Linked DNA regions of Caenorhabditis elegans. The protein of the gene in region 2 interacts with the protein of the main gene of each other region in a pairwise test. Each region holds a gene or a part of one and is shown on either strand. Other genes may lie near its edges.

Region 1 (9,545 bases), on a different chromosome or scaffold from region 2:
TCAACCTAGTTGTTAGGTTAACTTTATACTTTTTCTTCTTCTGTTTCTTCGAGATGATCGGTCCAGAATACAGCCAGTATTTTGGGGTCTCTCCCTAGTGTTCGGGATTTTCCAGATCTCCTATTTTCTTATTGAGTTCCCACAAAATACAGGAGCAGTATTTTGGGTTCTCAACCTAGTTGTTAGGTTAACTTTATACTTTTTCTTCTTCTGTTTCTTCGAGATGATCGGTCCAGAATACAGCCAGTATTTTGGGGTCTCTCCCTAGTGTTCGGGATTTTCCAGATCTCCTATTTTCTTATTGAGTTCCCACAAAATACAGGAGCAGTATTTTGGGTTCTCAACCTAGTTGTTAGGTTAACTTTATACTTTTTCTTCTTCTGTTTCTTCGAGATGATCGGTCCAGAATACAGCCAGTATTTTGGGGTCTCTCCCTAGTGTTCGGGATTTTCCAGATCTCCTATTTTCTTCTTGAGTTCCCACAAAATACAGGAGCAGTATTTTTGGTTCTCTATTCTTCGTAGGTTCATTCCTTCCTCCCACACTTTCCTTGAGTTCCCACAAAATACAGGAGCAGTATTTTGGGTTCTCAGCCTAGTTGTTAGGTTAACTTTATACTTTTTCTTCTTCTGTTTCTTCGAGATGATCGGTCCAGAATACAGCCAGTATTTTGGGGTCTCTCCCTAGTGTTCGGGATTTTCCAGATCTCCTATTTTCTTATTGAGTTCCCACAAAATACAGGAGCAGTATTTTGGGTTCTCAACCTAGTTGTTAGGTTAACTTTATACTTTTTCTTCTTCTGTTTCTTCGAGATGATCGGTCCAGAATACAGCCAGTATTTTGGGGTCTCTCCCTAGTGTTCGGGATTTTCCAGATCTCCTATTTTCTTATTGAGTTCCCACAAAATACAGGAGCAGTATTTTGGGTTCCCAGCCTAGTTGTTAGGTTAACTTTATACTTTTTCTTCTTCTGTTTCTTCGAGATGATCGGTCCAGAATGCAGCCAGTATTTTGGGGTCTCTCCCTAGTGTTCGGGATTTTCCAGATCTCCTATTTTCTTATTGAGTTCCCACAAAATACAGGAGCAGTATTTTGGGTTCTCAACCTAGTTGTTAGGTTAACTTTATACTTTTTCTTCTTCTGTTTCTTCGAGATGATCGGTCCAGAATACAGCCAGTATTTTGGGGTCTCTCCCTAGTGTTCGGGATTTTCCAGATCTCCTATTTTCTTATTGAGTTCCCACAAAATACAGGAGCAGTATTTTGGGTTCTCAACCTAGTTGTTAGGTTAACTTTATACTTTTTCTTCTTCTGTTTCTTCGAGATGATCGGTCCAGAATACAGCCAGTATTTTGGGGTCTCTCCCTAGTGTTCGGGATTTTCCAGATCTCCTATTTTCTTCTTGAGTTCCCACAAAATACAGGAGCAGTATTTTTGGTTCTCTATTCTTCGTAGGTTCATTCCCTTCTCCCACACTTTCTCTTGAGTTCCCACAAAATACAGGAGCAGTATTTTGGGTTCTCAACCTAGTTGTTAGGTTAACTTTATACTTTTCCTTCTTCTGTTTCTTCGAGATGATCGGTCCAGAATACAGCCAGTATTTTGGGGTCTCTCCCTAGTTGTTAGGTAAACTTTATACTTTTCCTTCTTCTATTTCTTCGAGATGATCGGTCCAGAATACAGCCAGTATTTTGGGGTCTCTGCCTAGTGTTCGGGCTTTTCCAGATCTCCTATTTTCTTATTGAGTTCCCACAAAATTCAGGAGCAGTATGTTGGGTTCTCAACCTAGTTGTTAGGCTAACTTTATACTTTTTCTTCTTCTGTTTCTTCGAGATGATCGGTCCAGAATACAGCCAGTATTTTGGGGTCTCTCACTAGTGTTCGGGATTTTCCAGATCTCCTATTTTCTTCTTGAGTTCCCACAAAATACAGGAGCAGTATTTTTGGTTCTCTATTCTTCGTAGGTTCATTCCTTCCTCCCACACTTTCTCTTGAGTTCCCACAAAATACAGGAGCAGTATTTTGGGTTCTCAGCCTAGTTGTTAGGTTAACTTTATACTTTTTCTTCTTCTGTTTCTTCGAGATGTTCGGTCCAGAATGCAGCCAGTATTTTGGGGTCTCTCACTAGTGTTCGGGCATTTCCAGATCTCCTATTTTCTTATTGAGTTCCCACAAAATACAGGAGCAGTATTTTTGGTTCTCAACCTAGTTGATAGGTTAACGTTATACTTTTTCTTCTTCTGTTTCTTCGAGATGATCGGTCCAGAATACAGCCAGTATTTTGGGGTCTCTCCCTAGTATTCGGGCTTTTCCAGATCTCCTATTTTCTTCTTGATTTCCCACAAAATACAGGAGCAGTGTTTTTGGTTCTCTATACTTCGTAGGTTCATTCCCTCCTCCCACACTTTCTCTTGAGTTCCCACAAAATACAGGAGCAGTATTTTGGGTTCTCAACCTAATTGTTAGGTTAATTTTACACTTTTCCTTCTTCTGTTTCTACGAGATGATTGGTCCAGAATACAGCCAGTATTTTGGGGTCTCTCCCTAGTGTTCGGGCTTTTCCAGATCTCCTATTTTCTTATTGAGTTTCGACAAAATACAGGAGCAGTATTTTGGGTTCTCAACCTAGTTGTTAGGTTAACTTTATACTTTTCCTTCTTTTGTTTCTCCGAGATGATCGGTCCAGAATACAGCCAGTATTTTGGGGTCTCTCCCTAGTGTTCGGGCTTTTCCAGATCTCCTATTTTCTTATTGAGTTCCCACAAAATACAGGAGCAGTGTTTTGGGTTCTCAACCTAATTGTTAGGTTAATTTTACACTTTTCCTTCTTCTGTTTCTACGAGATGATCGGTCCAGAATACAGCCAGTATTTTGGGGTCTCTCCCTAGTGTTCGGGCTTTTCCAGATCTCCTATTTTCTTATTGAGTTCCCACAAAATACAGGAGCAGTATTTTTGGTTCTCTATTCTTCGTAGGTTCATTCCCTCCTCCCACACTTTCTCTTGAGTTCCCACAAAATACATGTGCTGTATTTTTGGTTCTCAATTCTTCGTAGGTTCATTCCCTCCTCTCACACTACATTGTTTGTTGGTTCATTTCCAACTTTTCAGTCCAATCAATCTAGCGAAAATAGGAAAAGTTGATTCATTTAACCCTGTTATTTTTAAACAAAGAATTGAAACATTCCATTATATTCATAAGTTAATATTTGAGCTTAATAGGGGTGTGAGCATTTTCAAAATATACAGAAAATTGGAAAACAAAAATTAAAAACAGAAATCCCGTAATTGTCGTAAAAAATAGTTTAGTTCTAAACATCCTACAAGGATCATAGCATTTATAACATCTTTCTTGTCAGTGTTCGATGGAATGCATGTTTGAATTGACAGGCAGCTGCACGAAGTGAAAACGATTTTTCTAGAAGACGTAAGCGAGTACCAACATGATCGTCTTCGGCTTCTGAGTCGCATCGATCCTTGGCTGGACAACATAGTTCTAGTTGCCTACAGTATGATGACCAAACTTCGAGATTCTCACATATCACTTCCTGTGCACGCATTTTCTTCGGTGCATAACATTTAGAATTCTGAATTTTTTTTAAATGTTATTATAGCAGTGGCTCTCTCTTTCTATTTCACCTGTTCCTGCGAGTGCGCAACACATTTTATGAAAAATTGTAGTTTGTTGTTCGAAGCTTCATCAATTAACTGAACAGGTAGATGAGCGGTGGAGAATCTCTGAATTAACTCACTTTATAAAGTGGAAGCAGTTGAGAAGAGCATTTATCATATGGCGTCGGGTATGGTTGAGCACATTTAATTCGCATTTCAACTTCTTTCCGAAGACATTTATCATATCTTTGGCATCCAGTTTGTAGTGTCCGCTTGTATTGCTCCATCTTTTTGGCATTTTTCTTGTTCATTGGCAAAATGACAATTGGTTTCGTTCTAGAATATTGACAAGTTTCTATTGCAATCATAAGAATGGGAAAATTAGCGAATACATGATCACGTATCGATATCTAGGTTGTGATAGGTATAGTTATAGGCACAATTTCGGCACGATACTAAACTCCTAATGTCATTTTGTTCCCAAAGAAGATAAATTAATTTTGATTCGGACTAGTGTCATTGGGGTAATTGTTCAAAAATGATCCTAGGAAGCAATGGTCACATTTTCTAATACAATTTTTATACTTTTGTCGCTTTTTAGTTGTTTGGATAAAAACATTGTAGGAATCTGCAGCAGTTCTCGAAATTACGACAAAATTCCACTTTTTTTTAAATTTTGGCATTTGCCATAGCTTTGACAAAATGTGGAAAATGGCTAGATAAATTCTAGGTAGGTCTCTAGGATGTTCTGGACAAAAATAAAACGAAGTGTAAAACAAGCGAGTTGACAATATCTACAGTTTTCATTACAAAAACATGAAGACACATTGTCACGCATATTTTGATATCAACCCACTTTTCTCTCATTTTCGCTCCCATTAATTTCAGCCGATGTCTTTTTCTTATTGGCAATGGCCACAGTTGATCTTCCAGTGGAGTTGTGCTTATTGATGGTGATGGAGTTACCTGAGAACAGTCATTTTCATACTTTTCAGTAGACATTTTCCACTAACATCAACAGATCCAAACGTATAAGCCGCCGTTGGTAGTGGTATTAAATCCTCATTTTGTTGCTCACTGAGCCTTCCAGGACTCAATGGAGCAGCTGTAGTTCGTAATTGTGGAGTTGTGGTGTGATCTGAAGTAGATGGACGACGTTGTCCATCCATCGGCCACATTGAAGATGAACTGTTTACTTGTTCATATCTGGCAATTGGAATTGGGAACATTGGAGTGGTGGATGTACCGGGCTGAAAGGAAAAATAATAATGTATAGTAAATGTAAATTAACAAACATCAATGTCCATCGCACTAATATCAATATAATCAGCATTCGAAAAATCAAATTCATCATCGTCTGACTTTTGTTTTTCCATATGCTTATCTAATAATTCATGTGTAACATAATCAATCAATGGATCAACTGAGAATGAAGGTGTTGGTGGTTCGCTTGTAACTTCTGTTGTTGTGATAGGTTTTGTTGTAGTTGTCATTTCAACTGTTGTAGTTGGTTCTTCAAGTGTAGTTGTTCTACGAATTGGCGAAAATGTAAGACGAGAAGATGGTGGGCGAACTGATGATGTTGAAAGATAAGTTGTTGGATAAGTAATGGTTGGAGGTGGAAGAGTACTTGATGGAGGTGGGGTTTCCGTTGTTTGTTCGGTTGTGGGTTCCATCGTCCATGCACCATTGTTATTTATGAATGCTTCTCTCATATCCGGTGTATTTTCTTGAACAATTGGAATAAAATTGAAATCTGGAGGTCTTATCGTTGTTGCATCGATTATAGAATTTGACAATTCATTTTTATTTCTCTGATCGCCAATGATATCATCGTAAATTTGATCAACGCTCTGATTGGGTTCAACTTGTTCTTGTCTTGAAAAATATAGTGGTTTGATAACGGGCTGTGCAAATCCCAAAAAGCTTCCCTTATTTTGTTTCACCATTAACATTTTTGGAAGTATTGATCTTCCAAATTCTCCTTTTTGTTTCAAATTTCCGTTAAGTTTGTCTAGTTTTTCGGCTGCCTGAAATCATGCAAATATACCTATTTGATCTTAGGGTGTTTTAAATGATCAACTTACGTGACGGGGATCAAATCTGGATTCTGTAATTTTTGAAGCTTGTGCAAATGGTGGTTCATCTTCAAAATCATGTTTCTTCTTTCGGAGTCTTCGTTTTTTATTTCTTCTAAACTTCCGATTCATTCTAGCGTCAAAATCAATAGACTGGAATGTGAATGGAGAGAAAGCTGGCGGTTGTGACGATGTCTGAATGGCTGTTCCACCGTGATGAAGAACAATAAATGGACTTAGAGAAGTTGTTGGTGGTTCTATTGGGGAGTGAAGAATTTCAGCTCTTCCAGTACGAACTGTCTTCAAAAATTTTCGCTTGGAGATTCCGTATCGATTTTCTGAAATATTGTTCAGAACGGTCTGTCATAAATATATAGCAAAATCCAAAAATTAACTCACTACTGAATTTCCTGAGTGCCCTGGGTCTGACTGCCAGAGGTGCAGCAAATTCTCTGGGTTTCTTTCCATGTTTTGTCCTCTTTGTTATTCGTTTCTAAAACAAAGTTAGATATGATAGAATATTCATGAATGTTCTCACGTGCGGATCTGGATAAACTTTAAACGGAACTACTGATCTTAGCATAACTTTCGTTGCCTCACTAACTTTCCGAGCAATCATCGCGTCTTCTCTGAAAAATGAAAATATAATTTCTTCATCTCATAGATTTAAAGTTGTTTTTTTCTTAGCTTGGACTGTATTAAAAATTCCAACCTTGAAATAGGAGCCCTCAACACTGCAGCCATATCAACTGCACATTCTTCCAGTCTCAACTTTATTTGACTTTTCTCAAGTTCATATTGCTCATTTATCACATCTCCTTCCATCTCTGCCCCGCATCTTTGAGCTGCTGGACAACATCGGCTCAAGGTGAAACATTTCTGTGTCAGTCTCATAAGATCACTCCAACAAGTTGCAGAAGAAAAGAATAGTGGTCGAGAATCCATTTCAATTTCATTATGACATGATGGATCCTAAAATATTTTAAAAAAATACTGGATTAGCAATCGAGCACTGTCTCACAGTCATGAGCAGAAAGTCTATCTCACTGATTGCAGAATATTTGGAGGCGCAATCACTGAACAATGACTCTATGTTGTAAGATGTTGCCTTGTGGTTTCTGGAAAATAATCCTTATAAGCTTCGACAACCTGACGTATAATTTTAATGCAACAAGGTTTCAAAAAAAATCTGAAAAATCTAAAAAATTGAAATTTTTGTTTACAGTCAGACATAATTTTCCACTATTAAAATTTCAAGATTCATGAGAGCTAACAACAATCTAGACTAAAATGTGTTTTCAGATTGTTGTAAGTTTGAACATATATCTGTTCAAAACTTCTTACCCATATAAATCGTTGATCTTGCATGCATGTTGAGTAAATCTTCTTGATGGTTCTGCACATTTCCAGTGTACTTCAAGAAGATCATTCCGACATTTAACATATCTGTCACATCCATTTGCACTCACCTGAAACTTCGAATTTGTTACCTTAACTATGGTCACCTAGCGTGATTTTGCCTTCTCAATTTCACCCTTTCCCCCGTGTAACTTTCTCTTCACCGGTCATAATTGCCACAATTATTCTTGTCTCCGAACGGTCTCCGTTTTGCTTCTGTACACATTCCCAAGCCGTCAATCACCGACGTCCCTCCACTACTTTTCATTATATTTTATTCAACAAACAAGGAAGAGAAGTTGGCTAACGGAGAATGGACACATGTTGCAAAAAAAGCCAGAAAAGGAAGAAGAATACGCAAATTAAGTGATCGTCAGAATAAGAAAAGTGTCTGGGTGGGTGGTCAACTGTACTCTTGTTTTAAGTTGCCCACTTCAAATATATCTTCTCACCTGATTAATCGAGATCACTAAGACCAGAAATACATGAAAATAATGTGGCATGAGATGCCGACTTCGATCGACCATCTCGAAGAGATCGATGTTGGCAGGACCTGCAATTAAGAGAAATAACCGAAATAATTGAAAAGTATAATAACATAAACTTGGAATATGAAACAGTAGTAAATAAAATTAAATTTAGAAGACTTGAATTAACTAGTGTGAGAAACATTTTCTTTGATTCAAATTCAACTACCAATTACTGGAGCAAAAAGCCTCTGTTACTGTAAAACAATTCAAAGATCAAATTCTTGGCAAATTGGTAAGGGCATTGTAACTATTTGTGGATATCAAGAAAAAGAAAGAATGCATGAAAAAACCGGGAAGTTTGCCGAGTTATCGATACATTTGAACAAGTGAATATGTATGTCGGAATCCACGAAGACTAAGATGAAGATGTTCCTAACAGAGTAAATTCACCAGAACGGCTTTGATAGTTCTTGGTTGTTTTTGAAAAAATCCAAAAATATTCGACTCTAGCTATTAATCAAGCCGCACAGAGCAAAATGTGAAATTGAAGTTGAACTTCCTGTAGAGGAAATCTAAATTGGTTGCTCAATGAGAATGACAAAAGCGTCTGACTAATATGGATTCAAAACTCATGGGAGAAGGAAAAATATGCTTGAAAAATTAAACATATTCCAGCCAATCTGTGGCATTCGATTTGCAAACGAATAGGCAAGAAAACTGGGGATTTGATAAAAAGTCCAATCCCAGCAGAGGAATTAGCAACTTTGGGATAGTCAAAAAGAAAGAAGTGACAATCTTTTGTGGAAAAGGAGCGGTATGTTTATTACAGGAAAATCGTCATCGAGAAACTTAGATTGCATTTTGATTGGCAATGAAATGGACAAGGTGGCCGACATTGAAAAGACACAAAACGACGAGAAACAAGCAGTTCTGGAATTTTTTTTTGGAATAGGGAGAATGACTCAGGAAAGGAATACCTGAATACATTCATCTCCTCCTTCTCTATAAACTTTCCCCAAATAGGGTGGCAATTGGTTTCAAAATGGCAATAACTTTCGGATATGCCCCCTTCCACCCATTTGATTCTCTTTCCTTATGCAGCTAGTTTCAACGTACGTAACGAAATGACGAGGACACATAAATCTAATTGACTGACTGAAAGTGCAGGGTCGTGTTGGATCATAAAAAGGATCAGGTAAAAGGTTTTGGATACGTGCAGCTTTTTTTCTATACATATGAGTGTTGTTCCGCATAGTATCCCTGCCCTGATGCAGAAAAAAGAACGACATCATCACTCACAAATTAGACAAAATTTGGAAGAAAAGGGGAGACAAAAAGCCATCAGTGTGTACGTCGTGCTTTGGAGATTAAGATTAGTCAAAATTTTTAGGCCCACATAAAACATTAGTAATTGGGTAAATCTGTGGTAAGAAATTTCAAAAAATTTTAAGATAAGTTCAAAGATAACTAAAGTCTAAATTCTTTCCAAGAAAAGTTTCACATTAAATTTAACCAAATAGTTTCATAAATGTTTGGTCACTAGCAAAATAGAAATTATAAAAATGAAGTAATAATTGGAATGAAAGAAGAAATGCATCTAAAACATTCGCTAAAAAGTTCAAAGTGAAATCCTAATAGATAAAGTGATAAACTGTTAGTTATCAATAGATGAGACTTTTCTTATATACCACATTTCAATTCAAGATCCTATTATTAAATGGATTAAATGAAAGATGAGGCGAGACGCATGTGTATATTCTCGAAACATGCAGTAATAACGCAGTATATACAGAAGTGTGTATCGCCACGTCGTTTAGAAGTAAACTGAGAAGTATGTAAAGAAATCTAAATGAAAAAAGGAAAAACAATGAGATATACGGTGTATCTCATTCTAGATGACTTTCTCCCAACTTTCCCAATTTCACCGGAACACGCACCCGCACAGGCAGATATTATGCAGATTTCTATCAAAAAGGTTTGTAGAATAAGGC
Region 2 (7,631 bases):
AAAATGGCTCAATTGAATCAACAAATGGCAAAAATGATGGATCCACGTGTGTTGCAGCAGATGGGTGGTATGGGAGGCCTTCAAAATATGATGCAGCAGATGGCAAGAGCTGGAAAAATGTGAAGAAATGGATGCAATTATTTTCTGTAGTTTTTGAAATGCCTGTTCCCAGTTCCCACAATTCATTCTGACTAAAACGTTTTTTAATAATATCAATATGATTTCTCGATTTCCCTTTCATCAGAATGTTTCCCAAGTTCATTTTTTGTCTAGCAGATTCTGTGATTCTAATTAGAAACAATTTAGTTAAAGAATAATTTATTTATTTCTTTTTTCCCTTTTGAATTTTCCTGAATTAAACTCGTTTTTTCCCTTGGCTCATCGGTGTAAATATTCACATTTAAAAATGACTGAAAAACATATGCCTGTTTATTTTCTATCTCATTGTTCTCGTTTTTTGACGAATTTCGAACTATTTTCCATAAGTTTAGATCAATTACAAATTGTAATAAATCAGTTTCAGAACAAGAATGCCACCAAAAACTAGAAAAACAAAAAAAGAAGACGTCGAGGAAGAGGCTGTTGAAGAGATTTTAGAAGAAACTAAACCTGCAAAATTACCAGAATCCGATGAGAGTTATTCGAGAAAAGTTGTCATTTCCAAAGGTGATTTCCTTTATTTAATTTCAAAAATGAATGTTTTTGTTTTCAGAGGGCAATTTGCCAAATAGCCGAATCATCAAACTGCGGCACCCGAAGGAAGGACTAGCGCTGTTCAGAATCTCCGAAACGTGCTTTGATGAGGTAAAAATATTGGTCAAGCTTTCACAAAAAACCTGAATAAACTTTTAAATGAGAATAAACTTACAAAATTTATGCAGATTTTCGCTGTCAACGACGGTCATCGATCATTCTTCTACGGTGAGAGTGTAATCGAAAACGGAACAATTCACATATTCACTCCATACAATCTCGTCTTCATTTGTCTCCCATATCTACAAAAGACCGCAGGAAAATTTGTGGAAATTGGCGAAATATTGGTAGATGATCAAGTTGACGGGATCAAAGAATTGGCTGAAAATGAAAGAATTCTGAAAGCATTGGAAGCTGTTTCAGATGTCAAAGGTTTGGAAATATCAGTTCGTGGAGATGGAAAAATAAAAGATTTCCAGATGTTCTCGATGTCAAACTATATCGTTTGAACGATCAAAAAATGTTGGATTGGATGAGAAGGAAGTTTGATTCTCTCAAAAAACTTCTAGAAAGTGATGCCCACAAGTCTTTGTTGTCATGTCGTAAGTTTCTCGTTTTGCTTCTTAATTTTACCAAAATGAAATAAATTTCAGCGGAAGCATTCGATCGTTATGTTTTCACATTCCTGTCTGAATATCTTTCTTCTGATCTTGCATTGATTGTTAAAGATCATTTGAATATTCAAGATGCTACTGTCTCCGAGAACATCGATATGAGTATGAAACGAAAAGCTGTGGATGACGATGAGCTTGAAGATAAGAAGCAACCTGTCGCAAAGAAACCAAAAGAATCAGTACAATCAAAGAAACTTCAAGCCGCCTCGAAGGGAACCAAATCAATCAGCTCATTTTTTGGAAAAAAATCTGCTTGAATCTCTATTTTCTTTATTCAACAATTTCGCATATAATTTCATAACATTGACCTCAATTTATCTATGATTCCGATGCTATTACTTTGCTCAATCTCAATTTTGCATTTCACACATTTTTTAATTCGTGTACTAAATAACTGAAACTTTGAAACGTTTTCGATTGAGAATACTCCTTCCGAAATGGGTCCTTTGCCTATTTATATCTATATTTAACAGTTTCATCCGATTTTAACGGATCAACAATAAAAAAAATATTTTAAGATGGCGGCACGTCTGGCTGCATCACGAATTGTGCACGCCGGCCGCGGAATCTCTCAACCTACACCATTCGGAAAACGAATGGATCGATTGTCAAATCGAGTATGGGGAGAGGTTGTCATGCCAACTGACACTAAAAGTTTAAAGGTTTTTAGATGATTTTTATAAAGAAAAGTTTCTGAAAATTTTCATTTACAGGTTGTCCGAGTAATGTCTGCAGAACCATATGAAACCAAAGAACAATTATCACCGAAATACTATCCAAATCTTCCGATGTTTCATTATTTGACCAAAATGCTACGATTCCATGGACTATTTTTTGATGATCACGTAGTTTTCAGAGATGTTCAAGATAATTTGAAAATTATTCGCGGAAAAGTTGTTCGGCCACCAATCGGTCAAGGAAAGCGTGCACAATTGAGAGGAAAGAAGTAGTGTGGATGTTCTCGAAGTTTAAATCTAGATTAGAAGTTTTGTTGATTTTTTTTTTACGTTTGTTTTAATTGAAAATAAATTCTTTTTGAGGTTTTGCTACATTTTTCCAATAAAATTAAAGTTTTTAACACAGAAAATATCGATTATTGATTTTCTTTTTAATTGCTCCACAAATAATTGGCAGACGTTGCTTTTTTCAGCAGTTTTCAGACTTAGAATTATGAAAAGAGCAATGGATGGAGCAAAAAACGAAGCGAAAAAATCTAAAGGTTTCGATTTTGCAATTTATCTGAAAAAGTTCATCTCCGGTTTACAGATACTGATTTATTTGGACGACCACTGAAAAAGACTGGATCCTGGGAATCAAAGGTTTCAAAAATAAACTTCATTAAAAAAAACTAAAGTCTGATTTTTCCAGGACAACGGCGATTTGATGATTTTCACCCATTCAGAATGTGAAGGAAAAGAGAAAATTGCCGCATTCGATATGGGTAAGAATTGGTCACATTATTTTATTGGCGAGATTTAACTTTCCATGAGTATTCCAAATTTTGATTATGAATATCAGATATGAATTGTTTCAATGGAAAATAACATGCTATAGTTTTAGAAAAATATGAACGATAACAAAAAATTAATAAGATTTCGGAGAACGGTTCACAGATGTTTCGGTTTCTTCTACACTGTCTTCCTTCCCATTAGAATCCTTAATAAGCATCTCCAATTGTTGAAAAATGTTTATTTCTGGCAATTTCGATGATTCATTTGGTTTCTGTTTTACTTCACTCTCTGTGGTTGTACTATTGTTTCCCTCGACTTTTAAACTAGTTTCTCCATTTTCTGCATTAAAATCTTCTAGGAATCCTGAAACATTTCCTTCTGATATATTCTTCCATTCATCACTGTTAATTAGTTCAAAAAGTGATTCTTCAAGCGTTTTGTCTGTTGTGCCATCACTAGTTGATGGCGTTTTTGGGCTTGAACTTCTTGCTTTTATCAATCCGTGTCGAATCATAAATCTTTGAAGCCAACCATTACTTGCCTAGAAAATATTTTATTCGAAATTCGAGTTTAAATGTTTCAAACCTTAAAGTCTGCATTTCCATTAATTTTCTTCGCATATTCCTTGATATCTTTTCCCGAAATTTTCCCGTTTTTCGAAGCAATCCAATCTTCAACTTTCTCATCTAATTCCACATTCTTTAGCGGTCTTCCTGCTCCACCGAGCCTCTTTGCTCCTTGTTTTCCTTCTGATTCGAATGCTAATTCGTGCTGAAATTCCAGAAATTTGTTGATAGAACTACTGTAGTTCAGAAATACCTTCAAATGTCTCCATCGTTGAATACAAGCTCTTGCAACTCCATATTTCTTCTGAGCTTGACAATTATTTGTTTGTTCAGCAAATCGAATAACTTCATTTTTGAATTCGAGTGTAAAATTGGCACGCTTCTTTTTTGGTGGTGGCTCGGATGAAGTTTCAAGTATTTTAGGAGAGATTTCAGTCATTTCTGAAGTTTAAAGCTGAGAATTCTACATTTCGGTTAGAATAGTATTACTCAGATTCGAAATTTTGCGATTTCCTACGCAAAAATGCGATACTAGGTCTTGGCACGACCGAATATCCTTTAAAAAGTACAGTAATCTCCCTGCCTCATTGGTTTGATTTTCCGATTTTCACATTTTTCCCAAAAAAAAATTGTTTTTTGTGAGACAAATCAAAAAATACTAAAATTTTATGCAAAATTCAGGAAAAAAGTCGAAGATGAATAAGTCAGAACAGTGACTCGTAGAGGTTACTGTACTTTTTAAAGGTGCACTTTTTTTCATATAAACTTATTCCGCAGTGTCAAGACCGAGTATCGTATTTTTGCGTTGAAAATCACAAAATTTCGCATCTGTGTAATATTTACATTTGCATCTTTAGAAAAGATAAAATAAATAAATAGAAAAAAATCAATGAATTCTAACGTCAAGAAGAAGGGAGTGCCGTTTTAATAGAGGGTGTCCACACTTCAAGAGACAACAGACAAACATTCAGAGTGTGTATGAAGATGAAGAGACACAGACAAACATACTATGCCTGTCTAATGGAGGGAGGCTGTGACCTACAATTAGAGAACACAGACGACTAGAAATACTGAGTGGTGTATGGATATATTTTTTGATTTTCTTGTTGTTGATGAGTGGGAAAACTCACGTCTTCTATCAAAAGAAAACACATATTTTTGGCGCAGAATTGATAATTTTCACGAAATATGAAATTAGTATCAAGAAACTTGGCCTTACTGAGACTATTCAAGCAGTGAGCCTCTGGCTCGGTACATTTATCCCTTGAACCTAAAATTGTGATGTAATTTCCATTTGATTTTCTTCAAATTAAGTAGTTTGCACAAATTAATAAAAATGTAATACTAATCAATTTTTTTTTTGGTAAATTGCCAAATTTTTGTGGAAATCCCTAAAATTACTGTAGATTCGAACCCCTACAACTATTTTTTGTCGATCTCCACAACAATAATAGATGAAAACCTGAAAAAGGTTAAATTTATGAGTTGTTCTAAACTTTCTAGTGTATGAAAAAAATATTTTTGTTTAAAAAAATCGTATTTTCAGACGGAACTCTGATCAAAACAAAGTCTGGAAAAGTGTTTCCAACAAATTGTCAAGATTGGCAACTTCTATATGACTCAATTCCATCAGATTTCAAAAAATTGCATTCCGACGGATTCAAAATTGTCATTTTCACAAATCAAAAAGGCATCCACGCTGGAAAAGTTGATCGAAATGAATTTAGGAAGAAAATTGAAGCAATTGTTGGAAAACTTGGAATACCTGTTCAAGCATTTGTTTCAGTTGCTGGGGGACACTATAGAAAACCATGTGTTGGTATGTGGAATGAGCTGAAATTGAGAAATGATGAAGTGGAAATTAATGAAAAAGAAAGCATTTTTGTTGGAGATGCTGCTGGAAGAATCAAGACTACAGTACGTGTGAATAGATTCAACTTTCATTTAATTCTAATTTTATAGAGTCGTCCTAAAAAAGATCACTCATACGCAGATCGTTTCTTTGCTGCAAATGTCGGTGTTAAATTTCAAACTCCAGAAGAATTTTTCGGAAAATCGAAAGTTGATGAGCCCTGGGGACCACCAAACTTTGATCCAAAAAATCTATTTTCAGAGGAAATTACTGAACTTGAACCTCATGGTGAAATAAAATTATGAGAAAACATAAATATAATTATATTTTCAGATGCTCAACTTAAATCATCCGAAAAAGAAATTATTCTAATGGTTGGATTTCCCGGTTCAGGAAAGTCGACTTTTGCTAAAATGCTCGGTCATCAACATGATTATAAAGTAAGTTTTGGAGCATTTTTCAACTCAAAAATTTTTGATTCATATTGTGAATCGTGACACGATCGGAACATGGCAAAAGTGTGTAGCAGCCACTCGTTCATATCTTGCTGATGGAAAATCTGTAGTTATTGATAACACATCACCGGATCTAGAATCACGAAAGCGATATATTGACGTGGCAAAAGAGCTCGGAGTGCCCATTCGATGTTTCGAGATGAATTGTAGTATGGAACACGCACAGCACAATATTCGATTCCGAGTGTTAACAGATGATAATGCAGCTGAAATCTCGTCAATGGTATTAAGAATTCATAAAGGAAAATATGTTGAACCAACACTGTCCGAGGGATTTTCACAGATTGTGAAAGTTAATTTCCGCCCGAAATTCGAAGTGGAAGAACACGAAAAACTTTACAAGATGTATTTGATCGAGTGATTCCAATTTGAAATTAATTAAATGTTAAATATATACTTACACATTCCAAAAATCTGAGTTTTAATTTTGTTGTTCAACTTGTGCAATAAATCTCATTCACTTTCCACTTTTTTCAGGCACACGTTCATTTATTAATATCAATATGACATCAAGCTGAGTAAAGTTCAAATTCTAATCATCAAAATTATCAATTATCAGTGAAATATTCTATCAATAATAAGAACTAGGCACACAGCAATGAAAGTGTATGGGATATTCGAAGATTTTTGAGTTGGAAGCCTTAATTCTGGTAATTTATCAACTTTGAAGACACCACAATCATGCGGGAAATTGTCAGGTGGCATGTAGATTTGATTTTGATCACCAACCTAAAATAGAACAGTTAGAAATTGCACTGATACTGATATTAAGTGTATTTTACCTTATATGCATATCCAGTTCCACCCATTAAATGAAGTTCCAAGTGACAATGAGCAAACCACCATCCTGGATTTACAGCACGGAATCTGAAATTATTAATTTGTTTCTTGAATGAGTATTAAAAATATAAGAGAGTGTTAATTCTTATCCTTAAACTTTAATAGTAAAAATTTTGAGATCGTTTCGCAAAAAATACGGTGGATGGTTTCATCACGAAAGAAAAATGTTCAACTCGAGATTGCACAAAACTAGGTGCGCCTTTAAGAACTACAGTATACACTTTTCCTCGATTTTACATTGTTTTTCACACTCAAAAATATGTCGAGACAAACAGATAGTTTGCCGGGTGAGTGAGAGAAAAAAGTGGAAATGGGTATAAAAATGTTTCAAAAAATTGGTTACTGTAGTTCTCAAAAGATTGTGTTCCTAACAATGGGTTCTCACGTGCTCCATGAATTAAAAAATGTTTTAAAAAAACAACGATTCGAAAACTGTTGTGGACGGAACGTAAACCTGAACTTTATACAGACGTGGCCTTTGGGTCATCATGAACTTATCGCGTAAGCGACCTCTCTTTATAATTCATTACTTCTTACACTTCTTGTAATAAACTACTTCTCTCCTTGTCTTTCGCTCAATACACAACAGTGGCGATCAGGATGAGATGGGGAGGGGGACAAGTTGTGCGAGGATCAGCCCCAAACACTGATCATGCCTCCACTCGCCGCAGAGGTCGATATACCGCCTCTGGTCGTGATGCCCCTAGCCCAGGCATTTCTGGCTTTTTGTCATATAAGAGGGGAGATGTTGTGGACGGAACGTAAACCTGAACTTTATACAGACGTGACCTTTGGGTCATCATGAACTTATCGCGTAAGCGACCTCTCTTTATAATTCATTACTTCTTACACTTCTTGTAATAAACTACTTCTCTCCTTGTCTTTCGCTCAATACACAACAAAAACCTACCGAATAGTGATATATCCTCCAACTGGCAATGTAATAGTATCTCTTTTCGTTGGATTCTTAGTATTCATTGCTTCTAATGCTCCACCTAACCAATCTTTATTTCTCCATTTCTTTCCATTACAACTAACAT

Evidence for each region.
Region 1: the proteins of F21D5.4 (region 2) and R05G9R.1 interact in a two-hybrid assay, tested with the Caenorhabditis elegans proteins (one large-scale study listed by BioGRID).

What each region holds. Positions count from the first base shown.
Region 1 is NC_003280.10:6,506,373-6,515,917, forward strand, and holds R05G9R.1 (uncharacterized protein), read right to left. Parts: upstream 7,640-9,545; 5' UTR 7,612-7,639; coding exon 7,537-7,611; intron 7,156-7,536; coding exon 7,031-7,155; intron 6,805-7,030; coding exon 6,708-6,804; intron 6,659-6,707; coding exon 6,399-6,658; intron 6,316-6,398; coding exon 6,225-6,315; intron 6,180-6,224; coding exon 6,086-6,179; intron 6,025-6,085; coding exon 5,696-6,024; intron 5,639-5,695; coding exon 4,904-5,638; intron 4,859-4,903; coding exon 4,622-4,858; intron 4,575-4,621; coding exon 4,465-4,574; intron 3,945-4,464; coding exon 3,749-3,944; intron 3,705-3,748; coding exon 3,636-3,704; intron 3,584-3,635; coding exon 3,335-3,583; 3' UTR 3,128-3,334; downstream 1-3,127.
Region 2 is NC_003282.8:8,734,281-8,741,911, reverse strand, and holds F21D5.4 (HTH CENPB-type domain-containing protein), read right to left. Parts: upstream 3,826-7,631; 5' UTR 3,824-3,825; coding exon 3,638-3,823; intron 3,590-3,637; coding exon 3,404-3,589; intron 3,360-3,403; coding exon 2,952-3,359; 3' UTR 2,811-2,951; downstream 1-2,810. Other genes in the region: F21D5.7 (Signal recognition particle 54 kDa protein), read left to right, coding at 1-123; F21D5.6 (Ribonuclease H2 subunit B wHTH domain-containing protein), read left to right, coding at 531-666, 713-804, 882-1,125, 1,173-1,295, 1,347-1,624; mrps-33 (Small ribosomal subunit protein mS33), read left to right, coding at 1,886-2,029, 2,081-2,317; F21D5.5 (uncharacterized protein), read left to right, coding at 2,538-2,586, 2,634-2,686, 2,736-2,808, 4,931-5,301, 5,347-5,524, 5,570-5,676, 5,720-6,112; F21D5.3 (Multicopper oxidase), read right to left, coding at 6,307-6,480, 6,534-6,618, 7,502-7,631.